Linked DNA regions of Caenorhabditis elegans. The protein of the gene in region 1 purifies or fractionates together with the protein of each later gene. This does not show direct contact. Each region holds a gene or a part of one and is shown on either strand. Other genes may lie near its edges.

What was found.
Region 2: the proteins of C17H11.5 (region 1) and mec-9 fractionate together in Caenorhabditis elegans (co-fractionation; one large-scale study listed by BioGRID). This does not show direct contact.
Region 3: the proteins of C17H11.5 (region 1) and C48E7.6 fractionate together in Caenorhabditis elegans (co-fractionation; one large-scale study listed by BioGRID). This does not show direct contact.
Region 4: the proteins of C17H11.5 (region 1) and parg-2 fractionate together in Caenorhabditis elegans (co-fractionation; one large-scale study listed by BioGRID). This does not show direct contact.

What each region holds. Positions count from the first base shown.
Region 1 is NC_003284.9:8,182,478-8,187,039, forward strand, and holds C17H11.5 (Phage protein), read right to left. Parts: upstream 2,657-4,562; 5' UTR 2,640-2,656; coding exon 2,555-2,639; intron 1,123-2,554; coding exon 960-1,122; intron 915-959; coding exon 843-914; intron 793-842; coding exon 627-792; 3' UTR 531-626; downstream 1-530. Other genes in the region: C17H11.6 (RBR-type E3 ubiquitin transferase), read right to left, coding at 3,160-3,493, 3,957-4,140.
Region 2 is NC_003283.11:9,909,080-9,916,761, forward strand, and holds the start of mec-9 (Kunitz/Bovine pancreatic trypsin inhibitor domain protein), read right to left. Parts: upstream 6,043-7,682; 5' UTR 5,994-6,042; coding exon 5,903-5,993; intron 5,855-5,902; coding exon 5,654-5,854; intron 5,451-5,653; exon of another isoform or gene 5,387-5,450; coding exon of another isoform or gene 5,176-5,386; intron 5,131-5,175; coding exon of another isoform or gene 5,117-5,130; exon of another isoform or gene 5,103-5,116; intron 4,921-5,102; coding exon 4,729-4,920; intron 4,580-4,728; coding exon 4,469-4,579; intron 4,426-4,468; coding exon 4,291-4,425; intron 4,245-4,290; coding exon 4,140-4,244; intron 4,082-4,139; coding exon 3,950-4,081; intron 3,903-3,949; coding exon 3,809-3,902; intron 3,375-3,808; coding exon 3,265-3,374; intron 2,253-3,264; exon of another isoform or gene 2,040-2,252; intron 1,488-2,039; exon of another isoform or gene 1,431-1,487; coding exon of another isoform or gene 1,268-1,430; coding exon 1,217-1,267; intron 1,036-1,216; coding exon 886-1,035; intron 573-885; coding exon 481-572; intron 404-480; coding exon 298-403; intron 162-297; coding exon 99-161; intron 1-98. Other genes in the region: fipr-10 (FIP (Fungus-Induced Protein) Related), read left to right, coding at 5,117-5,130, 5,176-5,386.
Region 3 is NC_003279.8:6,234,195-6,239,161, forward strand, and holds the start of C48E7.6 (Chondroitin sulfate proteoglycan 4), read left to right. Parts: upstream 1-1,939; 5' UTR 1,940-2,017; coding exon 2,018-2,312; intron 2,313-3,594; coding exon 3,595-3,679; intron 3,680-4,379; exon of another isoform or gene 4,380-4,516; intron 4,517-4,962; coding exon 4,963-4,967. Other genes in the region: col-56 (Col_cuticle_N domain-containing protein), read left to right, coding at 1-86; C48E7.7 (MS Related Protein), read left to right, coding at 591-670, 716-1,094.
Region 4 is NC_003282.8:8,711,904-8,716,930, reverse strand, and holds parg-2 (Poly(ADP-ribose) glycohydrolase 2), read left to right. Parts: upstream 1-1,798; 5' UTR 1,799-1,903; coding exon 1,904-2,036; intron 2,037-2,085; coding exon 2,086-2,195; intron 2,196-2,292; coding exon 2,293-2,463; intron 2,464-2,520; coding exon 2,521-2,633; intron 2,634-2,680; coding exon 2,681-2,963; intron 2,964-3,085; coding exon 3,086-3,209; intron 3,210-3,256; coding exon 3,257-3,547; intron 3,548-3,670; coding exon 3,671-3,799; intron 3,800-4,192; coding exon 4,193-4,296; 3' UTR 4,297-4,523; downstream 4,524-5,027. Other genes in the region: ipla-5 (PNPLA domain-containing protein), read right to left, coding at 1-37, 106-258, 302-464, 514-797, 879-987, 1,038-1,114, 1,165-1,220, 1,261-1,308. UniProt on the Caenorhabditis elegans protein: Poly(ADP-ribose) synthesized after DNA damage is only present transiently and is rapidly degraded by poly(ADP-ribose) glycohydrolase. Poly(ADP-ribose) metabolism may be required for maintenance of the normal function of neuronal cells.

The DNA.
Region 1 (4,562 bases):
TTGAAAAGCTCCAAACTGCCAAATTAGAGGGGGATGCTATAGAAGTTGGACGCACTGTATTACACCGGTTGGTAAAAAAGAGGTGCCGAGGATTTTATGACATTGTGAAGTTAGTACTTTACTACTACTACTACTACTATAAGAGTGTCTCATACTGCTGAGTTCTTAAAAAAATAAAAAAAAAGGGAATGTTGTTCGAACGAAGTTTCGGGGATTGCTTTACCACATAAAAAATTTGAGAAAAGATGAAAACTGAGAAAATACAAAACACTTGTTGCTCGCTCTAATATTTTTATTTTTTTGAGGCATAACTTAGTCTGAGAATTGCAGAAGATCGTCAAGATCTGATATTTTTAGAAACCGGCAAATGCATAAGTTTCCCAATACCGAAAATTTTTGGATCACTTACTGTTAAACAAAAATTAAATTTAACACTCTTAGCACAGGGCTAAAGTTTCTGATTTTTCAGCACTTGTACTCACAAATTTAATCAAGAAATGTTTCAATGTGTTGAAAAAATTAATTTGAAAAATTTACAAAATATTTTATTTGTAAAAAAACAATGTTCGGAGCATTGAATTATAGAACTAACACAGTAATGTGTTGAAATGTGTTTAAATGATCGTTTAGATTTCCTTTCGAATTAATGGAGCTCCATCAAAGCGCTTCTTGTTCTCGATTCCAAAGAGTAATCTGATAGCCCGGCAAATGAACCGTATTACTACGTTACATGGTCGATTATATTTTTCTCGTTTCATTCTATCGTACACTTTCATTGCGGCAATGGAAATTCTGAAAATGAACTAGAGTTCAGAAAACAATAGTTCAAAATGTTAGGTGACCTCTGGTAGTCGAGCCAATACTTGATGGTCATGTAATCATATCTACAGGTTTCCATTGCAACCGAAAATTCTCTGAAAACTAAGAATATGAAATAACGATACGGCATTGCAATTCACATAATAGCACCATCATCGTTTTCCGGGCATACCGGAGGAACTCCAACCCAGTCGTTCAATTTATTTCGTGGTATGGGACCTGGCGGAGCTTCACCGTTCATCAGTTTGTTGAGAGTGTACTGATCAGGAAAGACGTATGTCTCGGCTGGATGGTGACTGCAGACTGAACCAGAAAAACTATGTATTAAAGAAAGTATTTCAAATGTATTTTTCTAATATCACAAATACTAGCATACAGAGAAATCTCATATATCTGATGTTTCAAATTCCTCTAGGTTTCGAATTGAGAGATTTTTCTTTAAAAAATTTGGACCGACCTAAAAATGTCGAAAATTTTTAGGTAGACTCAATAAAAACTTAAAATTGACTTTTGTTCTAAACTTCATTGAACTTCAAAAAATTTTTTAACTTTTTTATTAGGTCAAGGAAACTTTTGTTTTATTTTATCAGTTTTTTTCCACTTTTTGATCTCAAAACTCTGCCAACAAAACATTGTTTTCCGTTAAACCTCTTTGCGACATACTATTTCGGCTCTTTTGAAAAACAAATTATATTGTTCTTATATTGCACTTATTTTGTATCTAAAGGAAGCCTATCAATTGAAGGTTATTTGTCTTAAATTTTAGTTTTCGGCCATATTAGAAAGAATATGAGGGGAAGTTAAATAATTCGAGGAAGTACGAGAAAACTTGACTGATAAACGGAAAAAAGCCCGCATGGGGTGGGGCCTATTTTAGAACTTCGTGACGGTTGGCTATTTCCGCCCATTTTTTGGTTTGTTTTTTAAGTCTACGGTTGAAAAATTGAAAAATAAATTTAAATTGGCGGCAACGATACTACGCGCTGAATCCTGATCGACGCGAAGACACAAAACAGTAAAAATGTGTAATTTTCATTGATGGCCAATTCAGTGCGTTATATCGTTGCCGCCGATTTAAATTTATGTTTCAATTTTCTAACCGTTACATAGAAAATGAACAAAAAACTCATCATAAGGATAAATATGAATAAATAAATGAATAAATAAAATTCCTCCCATGTGGGCTTTTTTGCGTTTTTCGGTCAAATTTTCTTGAACTTCCTCGAATTTTTTTACAGTCTTTCAAATGTAATGTAGATAAATTATTTATTTTTGGATGAGAAAACATCATTTTTTATTGAAACTTGGAAAAAATGGACTGACCTCGTGAAAGAATTTTTTCAAGTATTTTCATTCCTTCTAATGGGGTTATTCAAGTAATGTCGGAAAATTAAAAAGTGTAGAAAAATTACGTCACAACTGTATTCAAGTATATAAAAACATGTATTTAAATACATTTGTGACGTCACAAATGTATTTAAATACATTTTGCTACATTACTTGAATAAGCCCATAAATTTCAAACGATTGCGATCATTATTCAAGTGTTTACAAATAACGTTTGCTTTGTACAAAAATATTGAAATTTCCAATAAAAATTATGAAAAAAAACATTTTGAAAAAGGTAGAATGTTTCATTTACTGTTTTTTTTTTGGAATTATAATTGATTTCGTTTTTTGAAAAATAGTTTTGAATGCAGAAAAACCACTTTTGTTCATGAATACTAAAACTTACAGCATGGTGCATCTAAATCGCACTCTTTTAGATGTCTCATAGCTATTTTTGCTTTTTCGGTCAGTAGTTTAACAAATCCAGTCATCGTTGCCTATACAGTCTGAAAACCTTGTAACATTGTTAAGAGAGAACTAAACAAAATTAAGTTTTCAATTAAAATCAATATATTTTACAAAAAAATATAGAGAACATTAAAAAATGAATGTAATGAAGAGATGATGACTTGTATTTGAATTTGGATTCCAATACTGTCAGACAAGAAAAATTGAAACAAGTGTAAACAGGTTAACATGAGAAATTGACGAGATTGACTTTGAAACACTTTTTGGCAATCACAACATAAACACACGTCGTGGCTAGCAGTAAAGAGGGAGAAAAAGTACTGTACGAAAAAAATACCGCATAGAGTTGTTGTTGATGTTTTTGTTATTGGACAATAAGGAGAAAATTTGGAATGGAAAAGATGGAAAAGATGGGGAAAGGGAGAAAATTGCAGGGTTATGAGAAGAAATGACTAGTTGAAGCACGTTGAGACAACTGGAAGGAACATAAATGACATAGAGTGATGTTTTTTATACAGAATGAAAAAAAAGAACGCGATGTTATTATTTCGTTTTGTTGAACCAATTACTGAATATTCCAAAACGTCGCTTCTTTTTTTTCTGACTTCTGGATGAAGAACTTGTCGACACACTGTCATCGCCAGCATTCTCACCGTTCGCCTCAAGTTCTGTCGGGCTACGTGGCGCGGCGACAGTAATTCCAGCCTCCGAAGGAGCGTTGCTCATATTTTGAACAATTTCTGGTTTCGACAAATTCGAGAGTCCCTGCCTGTTCACCGTGTTACCGGTGTTGAGGTTGACTGGGAACGTGGCTACTGTATGCACACTCTTCCCGCTTCCTGATCTTCGGAGCTTGCTACTTGGTCGCGTTGAAGGTCTAGAAACACTTTCAAATAATTTTAGACTAAAGAATGCAATAGCGGAGAAAAAAATGTTCAAGTTAAACATTTTTACTTATTTTCACCTTTGCTCTTGCTTTCACTAAATGTATTTTGAAGATGATGTACAAGAAAAGTACTGCAAATTAAATCGAAAAACGTTTTTTAAAAATATTACCTTTCCAAAATTCATTTACAGTGATCGCATTAAAAAATCAATATTACACTCCGCCTGTAGGTTTTTTTGCACATTTCAACATAAAATCTACTGAATTTCTGATATTTTTGTTTAAAATCCAAAAAAATCAATAGCTAAAATTCGTTTTAAAAAAACTGTTGCTTGAAATGATCGAAATTTGTGATTATAATACTTCATATTTCAGTATAACACTTTTTTCACAAACATCTTATTCTCGAAAACTTCCTCCTACAACATTTAACATTCAAATTTTCGCAACTCACTCATAAGGTGTCTCTTGAGGTGCGTCAGTGGCTACCATTTGCTTCATATTATCAAGCCAGCTACGAATTTTGAATAAATCGATGGGATCGATATTCACACTTCCAGAGCTGCGCATTGCAGGTGGTGAATTGATCAGCAACGCAGCACCTTCTTCGGTGAAAAGAAGCCCATCGTCGTCGCGCTCTTCAAAATTTGAAGGGGTTGGGTAAATAATTAGATTTGGTACACTTTATATATATTTTTCAATGCATTCTCATTTCAAGTTTGTTACGCGAACTCAACTGCGGCATTGCGATTTTATGTAGCTCACAAGAATAAAAAATTTCAATTTAACATAATTTTGTTAAAATAGAACAGAATGGCGGAACAACAAAAATTTTAATTAACTAGAAAAACAATTCAAAGAGAACGGAGAAAGTTTGATTAGGTTTGTTATATTCTAAAAAAATGCGTGTGCGCAATCGAGAAGCGTCACAAATGTCACCTAAATTTTGTTTTCTTGGAATTATATTTTGTGACGTTGAATGTAAAATTATAAGGAATTAATGACAAACTCTAAAAGTTATATAGACTTAAATCTTGTCATATGACCACTTTCAGGTATG
Region 2 (7,682 bases), on another chromosome or scaffold:
CTCTAGCAATCAATTTAATCAATTTTTCAATTAAAATATCAGGTGATCAAGACTTTTTTGGTTACATCCATTCTGTACTCTGCATTTATAAAACTTACTGTAAATATCGCCGATTATCTCTTTCATTTTAAACTTGTCGTTGTTGTGCCAAGGTTTTTTAGCTGTAAAAATAACAAAAATTGTGTTTCTAAAAATGAACAATTCATTTTGAGGAAATAAGAATAACCAATTCTAGAAAACTTTTTTGAATTTCAGTTCTTAATTCCAAAACTTTGAAACGTTTATAAATGAACATACGATCTTTCTTTGCAGGATTTTCGCAAGTATGCAGACACGACAATTCATCTTGAAATATGTTCTCATTTGCACCTTTGCAGCCGTCATACCAGAACGAGAAACATTTCTGAAAAACGGAAATTATAAATTTGAGATAAGATTAGATTATCATTCCATATCAAAATATCACTCCTTCAAATTTACCTTTGAGCCTTTATCAAAATACCATTGATGACGCCATCTTCCTCCATTGCACTCCTTCTTCAAACCTTCATCAAAATCTTCCAAACATGATCCTAAAAATAATTGTGTTTTGTTGTCTTATTGTGTCTTAGACATCCGCAGAGGAAACAAAAAAGGAAATGTTTCTGAGAAAAGGAAGTGACAGTTCATCATTCAACTGGCGGGAATATTGTGAATGTTCGTGTTTTTTGTTGTTTTTTGTGTTCTTGCATCTTTTTACAAAAAAAAAAAAAGCGAACAATTTGGTTGTTTTGAATTCGAAAGTTTGAGAAGTGAGGGTGGAAAACATAAGAAAAACAGAATAAGAAAACAAAAATGTTTTGATAGTCAGAAATTTTGTTTGTCAATTGATAAATGACAACTCACTGGATTTATACATTGGTTGAGATTCACAAAGCCACTGGCACGTCAGTTCGTCATCGAAGATGTTTCTGGAATCCGAACGGCATCCATCGAACCAAAATTGACGGCATGTCAATGAAGCATGGTCGAAGTAGTAACGTTGTTGCCACTGGCCTAGAAAATTGTTTTTTTTTTCAATTTCAAGGTGCATGAGCTAACTTTTTATAATTTTTTAAGAATGAAACAAAATTTATCTAATTTTTTTCAAAAAAAAAATCACTTCAATTGTTTGGTTTTTAAATAATCAGATATAAAAAATTATACACATCTGACTTTTTTAAATGTCAAAACTCACCATTCATGCATTGATTCCGGTAGTTCATATCAAATTTGTCCCAGCAAACTTCTGAACGACAACTAATAAGTGGAATAAGTTGTGATAATATAATGAGTGATATCCTGAAGTCTAATGAACATCTTCTGTCGTCAAGCCGCTGTCTTTGTCGGTTTTGTGAAAATTTAAGTTTTTCATGATAATGTGATAAAGTGATGAGTCCACGTGGAATCATCGCATCTTGCGAATGATGATACGGGACCAAAGCACCACCAGCAAGGAGAGCTCTTCTGGAGAAATAAGTGAATACCATTGGAAAAGAACACGAAGAAAAATGAGAAAAATGAGAATAAGGTTGAAATCGTTTCTCAGAGAGTACCAATAAATCATGATTGCTAAGTTCCGTAAGGTAGGCATTTCAATATAATGGAACGGCAAGAAGGAAATTGTATACAATTTTCAGTCTTCGCAATGTCTAATCTATAATTTATTTGATGTCATTGGAATTTTTTTTTCGTAAATTTTCCTAACCAAAATTTCAGTTTCAAAAACACTTCTATACAGTTTAGACAGAAAATCAACATGGGGAAAGAGATATGACCACCTCAAGCTGCATGAATTAAGGCAGACCACACAGAAATATATTAAAAATCAAAAATAAACAAAACTGGAAGAACGTCTATTTGACATTTGAGTTGTGACAGACGACATCAAAAATTGATCAAAAATGCCGCCGCCTCTCGTTTTATTTTCATAAAAAAGGAAAGTCGGAGAATGTTTTGTGTATGTGTTTGGTGGTTCGTCGGAAGAAATCTTCTCATAGAGAAAGAAAAAAATCTAGAGAGGGAAACCGAGAGTTGACACGAAATATAGGCCTTCTTTCCCACTCTTTTGCCTCTGACGACGTCTTTCGTCTTCTCTTCGGACTTCCTTTCTATGAATCCTCCGGAGGGACCAAAAACTCGTTTCTCGACTTTTGAGAAGAAGAATAAGGAGACCCCGTTGAGAAAGAAGGAGTGCTCCCGGCCGTTTATAAGCTTTCTTTCCTCTCGTCTATCCATATTTTCTCGCGACCCGCTCCACTATCTTGACATGAAATCAAAAATCGAATTATATCTGTTGAGTGGTTTGTGAGTGTGTGAGAGAGTGGTATGTATCTACCATCATTATGGAAATTGAATTTTCTCAAAAAAGTAGTAAATGGTAATCTTTGAGCCGGAAACTGGTTATTTTAGGCATTCTCCCAAAATAGTACCCAGATTTGGTTAAGGGTTTCAAGTTTTGTCAACAATGTTCTATTTCCAAATAATTGTGAAAAAATACGATAAATTAAAAAACGTTCGGAATTAAAAGAATCATAGGATAAAGAAAACATACATTAGTACCTATATTTTATTAAAGTGTACTGAATATGAAAACTAATTTCAATTTTTTTACAATCAGTGTTCATAGAAAATACAAAGCCACCCTTTGTTAAAATTTACTTTTATAGTTATAAATAATTAAACTTGAAGTTAAAAACCGATTTGAAACTGAATGTCCAAAAACAAAAAACAATATGCTCATAGAACAAAAGGTTATTATTTTAGAATGCAAGTGTTATTAGAGAACTAAAGATTAGAAGAAAACAAACTTAGACATCAAAAGCACTGCAACTCTTTTCAAGCGGAACGACTTGACCACAATTTATTTCTTTAACAATGACCAACAACGGAAATGATCTTCTATAGACGTCAACTACATCTGAGCAGGTTATGTGGTGGGTGGCTCTTTCTTTACTAAACACATTCACATGAAATGTATGGAAAGGGTAGTGAACAATTATAGAAGCTTCTTTTCTATCCGGAAGACAGAGCTCCAAGCAGTTTCGAACGCGTCGGAGCAGAAAAGTGACGCTAATCTCGGTTGCCACTTTATTTTTCAGTTAAAAAAGCTCTCAGAAGCTGTTGAGAAGCGGATGAGAAAACGGAAAAAGGAGAGTGTGAGATGGGAAACTTTACGATTCGGAGAAAATATTTGAAAATCTGAGAAGACAACGGCTGAACGATCTGTAATAGACTGAAAGTTACCGGCTCGTGTTAGCACATTTGTCTCTTCGCACATTGTTGTACACGTATCATATTCAGAGAAAATATTCCGCGAACGTCCACGACAACCGTCATACCAAAATTGTTCACACCTGGAAAATGTAACACTTTTAATTTGTCTTGCTGATATGTTGCTGATGAAACATGTTTAAAATTTAGAATTACAAACATTAAATGTTTCTTGTACCCTTTTTCATTATTGTGAAAATTTTATTTTAAAAAAAGTATTTTTCTCGAAGATATTATGAAAAGACTGATATTACAAATACGTCTAAAGAAGATAATTTTTACAATATCTTTTGTGTATAGGTCTCGCCACGCGGGCAACAGAAATTACTGTAACTCGTGTCAATTTACGAACTGCTATTAAACCTTACATACAGGTAATTTGTTGGAAAGGTACCTCAAACATTCTTATAATATGTGGACAATTTGTCAACTGTTTCTATCAATTGGCTAGTTGTTTTAAAAAATTGTTTAGTCATCAAATTTTAAATTTTTGAGAAACACTGCGAAAACCGCTTACATTCTGGTTTGATGATTGAAGAAGAAATGCGGCCTCCAATTTTCATTACCGCATGTGTCCTTATAGTCGTGATCAAATTTATCCAGACAAGAATCTTTAATTTTGAAAATAATAAATTACTTCAACTATCAAGACGCTGACTTTTAGAAACTGTACAGTTATATCCATTTCCTGCGTATCCTTCTAGACAAGTACATATAAAACTTCCTTCTCTATTGATACATTCTGCATTTTTATTACACATTTCTGGACGCCGAAGACATTCATTCACATCTGAAATATAAAGTTGACTTTGATAATTTTTAATTTAATATCGCTTCGAAATGTATACCTGTGCAATTAAATCCATCTCCTTCATATCCTTCTTTGCATTGACACACTCCGTTCATACACGTGGCATGCATCGAACAATCCTTGCAATCAATTGATGATCTTCCTTCAAATATCAATAATAAAACTACTCCTGAAAGATATTTTCTCACCTAAACCAACATATGTACAATGTTTTCCATCTCCTCGATAAGAAGCCATACATTCACATTTATAGGAACCTATTTCATTTACACACCAAGCATTCCGATCACAGACTGCTTTGTAGCCACGGCATTCATCAATATCTGAAACAATACGAGATTTAAAATATTTAAGTTTATGCTTCACCAATGCATTCTCCATATTGATTTTTTTCATATCCACTCCGACATTCACAAGTATAATTGAACTTTGAGTTCGATTTGCAAAAAGAAGTTCGCAAGTCGCAATGATCACATGCTGAAAATGAGTTCCGTTAAAAAAACTTTTTTTCTAATCAAATGAAAGAAAATCCTCCAAATTGAAATTACATTTAAAATCTGAGATTTTCAAATAATCTTTAAAACATGATCAATCAGTACTTCCATCAAAAAATAAAATTAACTCGCCTATTTGTGGCGAAAGTCTTTCTCCACAAACTTTTCGGCACATATGTAGACTGTAAAACTTGTTATCATTTCCTCCACATCCATAATAGAAGAATTTTTCGCATTCTCCTGATTCCTGATTAAAAAAGTACCACCAATGACCATTCCGTTCATCACCACAATGACCTTGATCAGCATCCAATAAACAAAGATCTAAAATATGATTCGTTTATTTTAGTATATTTTCTTGATTTATGATCGAGCATACATACCAGTTTGCACTTTTTGACATTTTTAGCGGCATTCACTCATTGCGAAAAAGTTTGGCAAATAGAACGGCAATAGTATAAAAGATAGAGTTTCCTCTCTTCAAACCAAGAATCTACTCATTCTTCTTACAACTCTCATCATGAACGCTAAATTGTAAGTTAAAACAAATAAAATCCAACTTAAAACAAATATTTTCAGCCTTCTCTGTGTTTTGGCTCTTGCCATATGCTCAATTGTTCAAGAAACAAGTGCCCAATACTATGGATACTCTTCATATTACCCATCATATTATGGAGGGTATGGTCTCGGAGCATACAATGGATACTATGGTGGAGCCTATGGATACGGAGGATATGGATATTATGGAAAGAGAGAAGCTGGATTTGGACCATCTCAGCAAGCCAATTGATTCAATTTCTCTTTTCTTACGACTAAAATACTTAATGGTATTTCAATAAATACGTGTGCATTTTATTGAACTCTTTTTTATTGTTAGAAACAAAAATTGTTTCAAAGAATTTAATTTATGGTTGTTGGCAGGCAATAATGCGTGATGTAAAAATATCTGGAGAAAAATACAAACTTCATCTCATGAACGCAATCAATCCAAATATAATTGCATAGCTTATCAATTTATTCATGGTTTGATTTTTTACTCGACATCCGCAAGGTTTACCTGGTACTGCAACTGGATTGAACATTTTGTACTTGCACTGTTTCACACATTGTTGTTTTGATGAAAATCGATTTTTAGTGCCCATACATCCTCCATAATGAAACTCTTTGCACTCTTCTACCTGCTTGTCCCAAAACCATTGTACTTGATAGTATTGGCATGGTCCGGGATCTACATCCTCAAGGCAGATGTCTTCGTTGTCTTTAAAAGTTTTAAAAGTTTTAAACTTTTACATTTTTCTAAACATACTCTTGACAAAAACTGGTTCATCTTTTGTGTCTACAAGGTTTAAAAATACAAGAAAAAAAGGGAAAAGCTTGTGAGGAGGTGGTAGAAACATTTTGGCAACAGTAAGCTAAAATATCGAAAGTGGAAGACACCACAAGCCAGAAGAGGTCTAACGCACTATAAAATGTATGAGCATTCTCTTCTCATTATCTATGTATTCATATGGTTTTTTGGATGTTTATAGATATCCTCCCCCGTTGTCTTTACGAAGAGTTGTTTAGGATGATGTGAATTTGTGATTAACTTCGGACATTTTTTTCACAAAAATGCTTGTTTCAGAAATAGTAATGTTTGGGGGCCTGCAGATATTTGTTTGAAATTATACTTGAGCCCATGCAATTACTTTTGGGTGATTAGTTGAAATTATTCTTTGAATCCATGCTTATGTTGTCTAGCTGCATAATCATGTGATATTGACGCGAAGGCTGATAAAGTTATGATTACTGAAAAGTGCACGAAAGAGACATTGTTATTTCGTACATTTGTGTCATTTTGAATATTGAAAATAATAATTAGAAGTGGTTCTGATCTTTTTGCTCTTTTATAAAACTTCTTTGTTAAAAAATTTATCCATCTCCATCTGTCACAGGCCCGTAAAAGTTACCGAGATGCATCGGCACATCATCAAAGCCCTTCACAAGTTGGCGGAAGCAGATGGTTTGTTTAAAACTTTGAGAATTTGTTATACCGCAAAAACCATAACAGAAATATAAACAAACTCACGAGAACTGGTTACTGTCACTTTTTCTTGTGGCCAAAAAACGAGGCACTAATTTTTCGGTTTTTCGGTGAATTTAACAAGTTGTAGTTTTTCTAATTGATGTTTCAACGTTTTTTATTAAAAACTTAATTGTAGAAAAGCGACAGAAATTTTGATTATTGATTTACATTTTTTGAAAATCATGCGGAATTATTCAATTATTTTCAGACCTACAAATAGGAAATAATAATTTCTAATATAATAGTAAGCCTAAAAAGTAGAAATCCAAATTACGTTTCATTTAAATGGAGAAATGAATGTGAATTTAATTGATTTTCAAAATGAGGAGATGTAATACACAAGTACCGCAAAACTTTGAATCCAGTAGACTTATCAATAGTATTAATTTGTATAGTAATTTGTTTTTAAATTGTATATTGCATAGGGTTCATATAATTGCTTTCATCAGTAACTGTGACTTTTCTATTAGAAAATAAGAGTTTGTAATTTGAACAAGAAAATGTGCCGCCTATCTTTCTTGAATGTTTGTTTCCCAGTAAATATTTTCAAAATTGAAATCAAATTTATGTTTTAAAGTGTACATTTCCTTAGCTTTGGAATGAATTGTCCAACCTGAAAACTCGCCCCGTTTTTTATTTTGAAACTTTTACTGGCGTAACACGCGGCGGTCAAATTACAAAGGAACCCATTTTATTTTTCACTTCACATGAAATAACTCATTACGCAACAACTATCATGATAAATGTCATATTTTACCGTAGTTATTCTTATTGTTTCAGTTTCTCATTGTGAGAACCTTTCGAAATAGTATTGTGCAAACGGCATACATGTCCATACATCTGTCTGGTTATGTCATGTAAGCAGATGGAGGAACAAAACAGAAAATGTATTTTTGCGAGGAAGCACACAAAATTCGTTTTTGCTTTCATTAGTTTTGAAACAAAAACATACGTCGTGATTCAGTGATAAAAAATATGTTGTTTTTCAACAAAGAATTGAATCAGTTATTATGACTTTTCA
Region 3 (4,967 bases), on another chromosome or scaffold:
CTTACGATTATTATGAATTTGAAGTCGCGAAATCGAGGAGAAATAGAAAATCGATTTGGAACAGAAGGAGAATCAAATATATTTAGTTTTTTATTATAACTTCATGAAGATTGTTATATTTTCTTTTTATCACTAACGCGGTATACTGGACCTATTTCATCTGACCCCCACAAATTTTGTGAGATTGAAAACGTAAAGTCATACTCCTGCTCGTGATGGATCCAATTTACTATCAATCCTGTTTGCCAGTCCTAATTAAATATAATTATAGAACATTTTCTTGGGTGGTTTTTGGGGTTCTCCGATAGTACTTATAAGGATACTTTCAGGTTGCTGTAGTGGTACATAACAGCTGGTTTGCTTTAATTGAAAAAAGCATCTGAATATGATTTTTTATTTTAATATAAATATTTTGAAGATAAACGTGAGCTTTTCCAATGTCCAATGAATACGTATTTCACGTAAAGGTCGATCAAACATCGAGATAAAAGTTGATGTGAAGATGAGAAAATTGAAATAAAATCAGTTCTCACTTGAACATTAACATTCGACTAACCATCATCTTGCAAACTTGCACCAAATCAATCGACATGCAATCAATCAACATCTTGTTCGCCATGCTCCTCATCTTGGCTCCAATTGTCAATGGAGACGATACTGCCGTTGCTGTGTGAGTTGTTCTCTATAATTACTCTTTTTTACTTTTCTATTCCAGGACTGCAACTAAAGTCACTGAAGATGCAACTGTGGCTCTCATCGAAACAACAGCCAAAGCCGTTGCAGAAACAGAACCAGCTACAGAACCAGTTCAAACCACCGAAGCTGTTGAAGAAACTACAGAAGCTGTTGTTGTAGAAGCCACTCAAGAGACTAAAGATGCTGAAACCAATGCTCCAGTTGATACTCCAGCTGCCAATAACATCGAAGCTACAACTGAAGGGGCTTCTCGTCCATCGCTTTCATCGACTGTTGCACCAAATGTAACTTCTGTTGATGACTTGCTCGGAGAAACTTCAACCAATGCCACAAAAGCTGCTTACAACACTGGAACCTTCTTTGTTGTCCCAATGGTCGTTCTCGCTTTGATTCAATGATTTGATTGATCTCTGTTGCTAACTTATACTAACTGAATAAAATATTATGTGATAACCAAGTTCTTCAAAAGTCTTTATTACATTAATCTATTGCAGTTAATAAAATAATATGTGATTATCGTAATATGTCTTTGTTTCTGAACTCAATCAAAGCTGTTCGGCTAAATTCTTATTCCATTCAGATTAGATTAAATTTAAGATGTGCTAACCATTAACCTCGCAGGATTTCAATTCAGGACAGGAAAGCAAGAAGCAGGGTGGTAGTCATGAAGTCGTGCCTTCATTTCAGAAATTAGGCATCTCTAAAGTTGATGAAGTTGGTTGAGAATTTGCGGGAAAGAGAAATAGTTCCAAACATGAGAAAATTACATATTACACAATTTTGTCGGTTCATCATCTTCCTCCAAAACCGAATAATCGTCTTTATCTGATTCGAAAAAAAAAACTTTATCAACCACTGGAAAACCTTTATTGTTGTCCCAATAGTGGCTTTCGCTTTGATTCAATGATTTGATCGATTTGTATTGCTCTCATACTAACTCAATAAAATATTATGTGATAACCAAGTTCTTCAAAATTTTTTATTCCATTAATCAAACAAGATTTCATGAAAAATCGCAATCTCTATCTTCCTGTCAACCGCAGTATACCTGTTAATAAATCTAATCATTATTATTATCATCTGATTCCTCATTTCTCTTTTTCTCTGTCTTTTTCATTCGTTCCTCAACCTTCTGCCAGCTTATGATGTACTATGTGTCAGTTGTTCCTCTTTCTTCTCCTTCCCTCATTTCCTCCCTCGAACCTCTTTGATGGGCGTGGCTTGAGCTTCTTTCTGTGTCTGAGACCAACATACTTCTTGCCTCTTTTACTGCCCACCAAAAACTTTCTCCATTTCAGTACAGTCTAGGCCAAATGTGCCGATGGCTTTTCTGGCACTGATATCACTTATCACATCTCCCCTAACTTTCGATCTACAAATCAACGGACCATCGGTTAATCCTGCACCAATTATATTGAGCACACCGTCCAAAAACTTATCATTATCATTTCACAATGGACACATCTACGCGGATTCGATTCCTGTATCAGCTATTTCTGAAAATGAGACTACATCATTCTCATTGAAATGTATTTCACATATTTCTTTACATTTTCAAAGTCCACATGCAAACTCTCTGGTTTATTCTCCAACATTGTGTTCAGCTCCAAATATCGGTAAGTTACCGAAAGAATTAACGAACGAATTACTTCCTGACTGTAAAAACAACCTTGAAATTTTTTGAAACATTATATCTAATTGTGAAATCAGTAGAAAAATCTGACTCATTTCGCTTTTTTTTACAAAATGATTGCTTCAAACTCTCCGATTTGCGTTTGAAAAAAGACTTTTGAATTACTGCTCATGTTTGCTGGTTGCCAGTTTCTCGATGTCGATGATGACAACAAAACGAGTTTCTGCAACTTGAAAAATTCTTCCTAAAATTAGAGATTTCAATCTTCCCTCCCCGATATTAAGTGAAAACCAATCTCATAAATCTGGAAAGACGCTTGCTGCAAGTGGCTAGAATAGTTTTTGTGCTAGAATCATAGCGGCTGCCTCAAAGCACACCAACAAAAAGAGCACTTTAGTCTTCTTTTCGGCTCCTTTTGGAAGCTGGAGCCGGCGCCGGAAATGAGCAAAAGAGTACTCTTTGGAGTATTCTGGAGCATCTCGGTATGTTGTTGTTGCTGTTCTCTATGTTTGTTCCGTAATAAACAATTGATGAAGATGAATGAATGAGAAAAGAAGAAGGAGATGGAGAGAGAGAGAGAGGAAGAAGCTTAAAAAGGAAAGAGAGTCATTGAAAATTCATCAGCAGATCATTCCGATGAACATGACATTTCAAATAGACCTAATAGAAATTTGTTAGCTTTTTTTGAAAATTGCTGAAAAGGACATACAAAGATTGTAAAACTTATTTTTTGAGTATGATTTCAGCATATTTTCAATTATTGCGCAAAATTGTTAAATTGAACTTTTCGAGTATTTGCACAACAGTTCCGTTTTTTTCTTTACCCTGAATTCTTCACAAAAATTGGGAGTTGGGGTTTGCAGCTAATTTTTTTAACTACCGAGTCAAAAAGTATAATAAGAAAACAATTTCTAAGAACTCGCTTCGAAGCCAAATCCCGCCATTTCTTCTTTTCCCGGTCAATAAAACTGTATTTTTTATCTCAAAATGTAGGCAGTAGATACCTCAAGATTCCCGGAAAAGTTTAACCCATTTCTTCAAAAAATCATAGTTGTTGGACTAATTAGCAAGTGTCAACACATGTGTCCTTCCATCATCCCTGTTTATACTTGCACTTGTTCACCACCAACCGACACATTTTGTAAATTATATGTTTTCTCTTCTTCTTCTTCATTTTTATGAGCCATGTGTTAGAAGAGGATGCTTGAGTTGAATAGAAAAATAAAAAATATTAAAATACAAAGTTGAATTCAAACAAATTGTAGGGCTCACAATAAACGAAACAGCGCTCAAAGGATGTATGTTTGATATCACTCAATCCAGCTCAATTTTGACTCAACGGATATGCGGGTGAGTTAAAACATTAAAAAAAGGAATTAGATCTGGATTTACCGTTTGAGCGTTTCTGTGTCAAAAGAAACGTTAACTATGTTCAATCTAGACTTTCATGAAGGTACAGGCATATTGTAGGCATTCAAGGCATGTGTATCCAATGGCGACCTTATCCATACTATCATGTGAAGAAAATTTGAAATTCACTGCAAGTAGGCGTAGGCTGCATTTAAGGGTTTCCTTGTAGAAAATATACAAACTGACACTTCTATTAATTTCTCAGGTTCCAATTTAGTTCAAAAAATCGGTGTACTTTTCACAAGACAAACAAACAGACAAAAATGTACGTGAAGGCAACATGTGTCTACTTTTAGTGACAACTCGACTGAAAATGTGTAGATCGTTTTCAGGCAGTATACATCTGCCTTATAGGTGTATATATCTTGAAGACTTTGACAATCAGACGTAACAAACATGTGTCCCTATCATTGAAACCATGAATAATGGGCGGTCTCGTTTTCACTCAATCATCAATCTGTCGTCCAGTCGGCAACTCTTTTTCCATTCCATTCTTCCAACATCTTGAAGCAATTTCTCTGCGACGAATCAAATCTCGCACTATTTTACCACATTATTATTATCCATATGTCTGCGTGTCCACATCATTTGGCACTGTTTCACTGGTTTAAAGTCAGTGATGACAGTGGAGTATCAAAAATTGAGAATCACGAAATAGTGCTGAATTGAGAGAGATTTAGGCAAAGAATGGGATACGCTGGATAGAGATGGAGACCACCAGAATTTGATACTTTGTGGCCGATAAAATTGGCACATTTGAGAGGGATTTATGGGGTGGCGAGGCAGTGGCAAAGAGTTGTTTGTTAGTAAAAAAGTCAGTGGTCACTGAAAAATAACCTGTGACTATAGGTAATGGGGGATATTGAATAAAAATAACAAATATGATAAAGTGAGGGACTTAAATGTTTTTCAGTTCATAGAAATCCGAAATAACTTTAATAACATCTATTTTAAAGAATGTTTAGGGAATTTTCCTAACTTACCCGTAAAGGCAAAATTTAGCAAGCCCATTTTTGAATGCATATCCTAAAGGTTCTGAAACTCAAACACATGATTTTACACTAATACGTTCAAAAATATATCGTAAAAAATGAGTTCGGGAGATGTCTATCAATATATATTTCGTTGACTGTGTTAAAATATTCAACACATTACCAACATGATATTAAAATTATTTGCAACATTTTCAACATGCGTTAAAAATTCTGCCTTCCAATTTCCAGAATCG
Region 4 (5,027 bases), on another chromosome or scaffold:
CATGCCATTGAACGATGGAAAGTAAGTAGGAGCAGCTCTGATTTGAGTTTATTTAAAAAAGAAAACATAAAATTTTGGTCCAGCTCTAGCGGACGAAAAACTTACGTAGTGCATCGAATTGCTTTCCACAACAAAATCTTGTTCGGATTGAAATATCCAAGTTGCTCAAACTCTTTTGAGTCGATACGCGGTGCATATGACCGGAAGAGAACCAATTGAGGTGGAGCCAATGTGACTTTTGCAGTTGTAACAACAAGACTGAAATTAAGATTTACAACTATTTTCAATCCCTTAGCTGTACCGATGGGCAGTGCACTTGGACATTAAAGTCTTTGAACCCATCACTTCTTGAAGACAAGTTTCGATTCCAAGTGCTGAATGTTTAGGGAACTTTTGATTATTTCCACCGAAGATACGTTTTCGAATTATGATGTAGAGACGGAGTGCGTCCGCTAGATCAATACCTGGAAACATTTGAATTTAAATATTGAATCATAGCAATTAAAAACTAACCAACACCAATTGAACTTGCCATGATACCTCCACAGCTTGTTCCGGCAATCCAATGAATTCGATTTCGTAGTGGTTCTCCAAGTTCTCTTTCAACAGCCAAAAGAATTGCACATTGCAAAACAACTCTTAAACCGCCACCATCAAGACTCAAAATAACTTTCTGATTTTGATTCTGCTCCTCATTTTCATTGATTTTCTTTTCAATTAGGAGTTTGTTGTAAGCCATGTGATGACTGTCCACGGAACTTCTACTAGTTGAAATGCTTTGGAGATCTCGTTTTATGCTGAAAACATAATCATTTAATGTAAAATCGAGATTTTGAATCTTGATTAATTTTAATGAACACCGTAAAAGTTTAATTTACTTTGCATCATCAGTCATCTCAATTGGTGTTTTTCCATCATTATTTTTCGAGTTCCAAAGATCCAATCCAGCGGCATAGACACAAACAGCTCGGCAAAGAAGACGTCGATCTGTCAAAACATCATTTAAGTTTTCTTAAACATTAAAACTTTAAAATTACTGAGTTTTGCAGCCAAATGAAGCGGAGTATTTCCATTTTTATCCTTTATATCAAATGGTTCATTGCGGACAAATGCTCTGAAAATATTAACAATTCAAAAACGCATCTGAAAATCTGAAAAACTAACGCCACCAATCCATCAATATTGTCATAAGTGATTGCATGGAAAATGTCAATATGACGCTGAAATTGTATTTGCGAAATTAACCGAAAATTGGAATACCTTGTATATTTCTTGAGCATTAATTCTTTTTAAAACATCGCTAAACATTGTTCCGCCCGTTTTTTGAAAATTTTGAAATAAATTGCGACAACGGGATCAGAAAACCAAACTTTTTTTATTTTAAACTTTTTTAAAGGTCGCGTAAAATAAAACATAGTTTCAAAAATAAAATTGTAAAAGTTCACAATTTATTATAGTCTCTTGTTTTATTTATAATCGGTTTGTTGTGCAGTTTTTTGTGTGTCATCTTCAAAAAATCTGGTGCCCTCGGTGACTGGTGTAACACTTTGTTTTATGTCCAGAAATTATAATAAAAAAAATGACGCCACACAAATTAATATTTTGCAATAACGTTGGAAACTTCGAAAAATTCTCGACTGTTGCCAAGCAGCATAAAACGTTTGCGGTTTTTCTAAATTTTAAATGATTGTCATAATTTTAAAAAAATGTAGAGCGAGATTTTGAAAAATTTCGCAATGTTTCAAAGCGATGTCCTCTATATATTTCGACCTTTTCATAGTTTTCTTATGTTCATTTTTAGAGGACACGAAACATTGTTCCAACTATTCTAAAATATTTCTGTTATTTAATTCTTTTAATTTTTAGCAATTGAATTTTTAAATATAGTTTAACAACAACTGAAATGGATCATGAAAACTTAATGAAGTATTTGGAAGAATTCAGAAGCATCAGATTTCAACCAGATTTCCAAAAAGTTGATGCTGAAAGGAATGTTAGATACTGTGAAATTACGGATTTTCCTATTTCTAACATATGTGAGTTATTCCAAATTTATTTCGAAAAATATGAGTACAATAACTTCAGCGTTTGAGCTACTGGAAACAGGGGTGTCTCAACAATGGAGAAATTGTGATCAAAATTTGTTCAATGAATATTTGAAAACTTACAAAAATGGAGGATATTCGCAGTTCGAGGTAAGTTTTTAAAATCTTTGTACTAGTATGTTTTATTCTAAACATATTATTCTTTACATTAAATAAATAAAATTCGTGTAAAATATCTAATTTCCAGGATCTTCTTTTCAAAATATGGGGATATTCTGAAGAAAAAGAAAGATTTGATTTACCAGCACTAAAGTCGTTTTACCGCAAAATGTCAGAAATTGTTGGAGAGGATGAAGTTCTTGAAAAATTAGCAAGATTAGTTCGAATTACCAAATCAGCTTGTGAAGTTCTTCCAGAGGTAAGTGAAACTGTGGGAAATTCTTTTTACCATGTTCTTACATATTTTTGTTTTTAGAAAATTTATCGGCTTGTCGGAGATATTGAATCAGCAACTTTCAGTCATATTCAATGTGCATCACTAATTGCTTGGATGTTTTTCAGTGACACACCTCGATTGAGTTTCATTATGTAAATCTAAACTAGTGTAGAGCTGTACATTTAAATCCTTGTTTTAGAATTCTTCAAAAAACGACTTGTGTCGCAGTGGAAAAACTGAAATTTTTGTTCACATACTTTGATAAAATGTCAATAGATCCTCCAATTGGTGCTGTCAGTTTTCGTAAAATGAGAATAACACATAAACAATATTTGGAAAATTGGAAATTAAGAGAAACTAATTTGTTGCCAGATGTTCAAGTATTTGATAAAATGTCCATTGAGGAGACCGCACTCTGCACACAAATCGATTTTGCAAATAAACGTCTCGGAGGCGGAGTTTTGAAAGGAGGAGCTGTTCAGGTACAGGTTATCTTTTCTCAATTTTTAGCGATTCAATTTGACGTTTTGTGGTATTCATGTTTTGAGTTGTTATTAAAAATTCGAATCATCTGAAATTAATAAAAAGCATTATTGTTTTTTAGGAAGAAATTCGTTTTATGATGTGCCCTGAAATGATGGTTGCTATATTATTGAATGATGTAACTCAAGATTTGGAAGCTATTTCAATTGTTGGAGCCTATGTTTTCAGTTCCTATACTGGATATTGTAAGTTCTAAATGTTAATTTATTTTCTAAAAAATATATTGTTTCAGCTAACACTCTCAAATGGGCCAAGATAACACCAAAGCACTCTGCTCAAAATAACAATTCATTTCGGGATCAATTTGGACGTCTTCAAACTGAAACAGTTGCAATTGATGCTGTTCGAAATGCGGGGACGCCGTTGGAATGCCTTTTAAATCAATTAACAACTGAAAAATTAACACGAGAAGTTCGAAAAGCTGCAATTGGATTTTTGAGTGCCGGTGACGGATTTTCAAAAATTCCAGTTGTATCGGGATGGTGGGGATGTGGAGCATTTCGAGGAAATAAACCATTAAAATGTACGTTTTTTTTTTTTCGTTTTATTCAGAATTCCTTTTCAGCTACAGCAAGTTTTCCAATGGACGGCAAAATGAACATAGCGTACCATTTTGCAGAATAAAATACTATTAATAATTTTTCAGTCCTAATTCAAGTAATTGCTTGTGGAATTTCTGATCGACCACTACAATTTTGCACATTCGGAGACACTGAACTGGCAAAAAAGTGCGAAGAAATGATGACGTTATTCAGAAATAACAATGTCAGAACAGGTAAGAAAAAGTTCAATAATTTTAAATGAAACTATAATCAAATGATACAAATTTTTCAAATTAATTGTAAGAGCCGGACATCAAATTAAAAGATTTTTATATTAGATTCAGTCAACTCTTTAATAACTCAATTGCTTAAATTATTATCAGTTCGAACTCAAATAACTTTTCTGGTTTTTTTCCTATTGAGCACTCTTACGAAATTGTAGATGTTTCCGTAGTTTTTCCGTAGAGTCTAGTGAAAGTCCAAGATATGCATAGGTTGCTTTGAAGGCAGACAGGCATACATTTCTGTGCCTACATAGATAAGGTCTTTTTTTTTCAAACGTCCTTGTTATCATAGAGATATTTGGATATAATATACTCCGCATATTTAAAAAGTTTTAATTTCAGGCCAACTATTTTTAATTATTAATTCCATCGGGCCACCACTCAACTATTCTGAACAGTATGTTTTTGATGCAATCAGAGCAAAAATCAATTCCACCAAAGCATGAAGCTATGTACTTTGTCAGAAATGCTATATTTTCCCCAAAGTTTTATATACAGTGTTTTTTCCAAATATTTTTTCGTATTTTTATCTGAACTTTTACTTTCAAATTTTTAATTAATATTCTAAAAATTGTTTATTCAATTTATTTTTTAACTGATCATGACCATTTCAAAAATTAAACATTAATATTTTCATAAGATACCAATAAAAGTTTTCATTCATCCTAAATTCTTGTAAATTTATGACAAAATCCAATTAAGATTTCAATTTATTTTTACATTTCCCGGAAGTTTCAAAGTCTGAAGCTGACTAACTAAACCACTATAGTCGAAGGAATAATTGCATATTTTTTATGATTTTATTTATTTCTCTCATACGTTTATCAGTAACCAAATTTTTCTCGAAAAGTCGTAGACATATATAAATTAGGTTTTTTTGCAATGAAATATTATAATCAATCAAAAGTTTGAATTGCCTAGCCTCTGAATGTGTGCATTTTTGTTTCAAAAATCACCTTTTTTCAAAAAGAGTGTACTAAAAAGTTATTATTTTAGTGCCGATGGGGAAACTCTCCAAAATTGCAAAGAATTGTTTTTTTTTGATTGAACGACATTCAAACAATTTTCGGCTGCACTATAGAAAGTTACTTTAAAGTTTTTCCTTGTTTTCAATGGATTATTCATCAAAATCATAAATCTCGCAGAAAAGTGTTATTTTTCAACGATTTTCAGATTA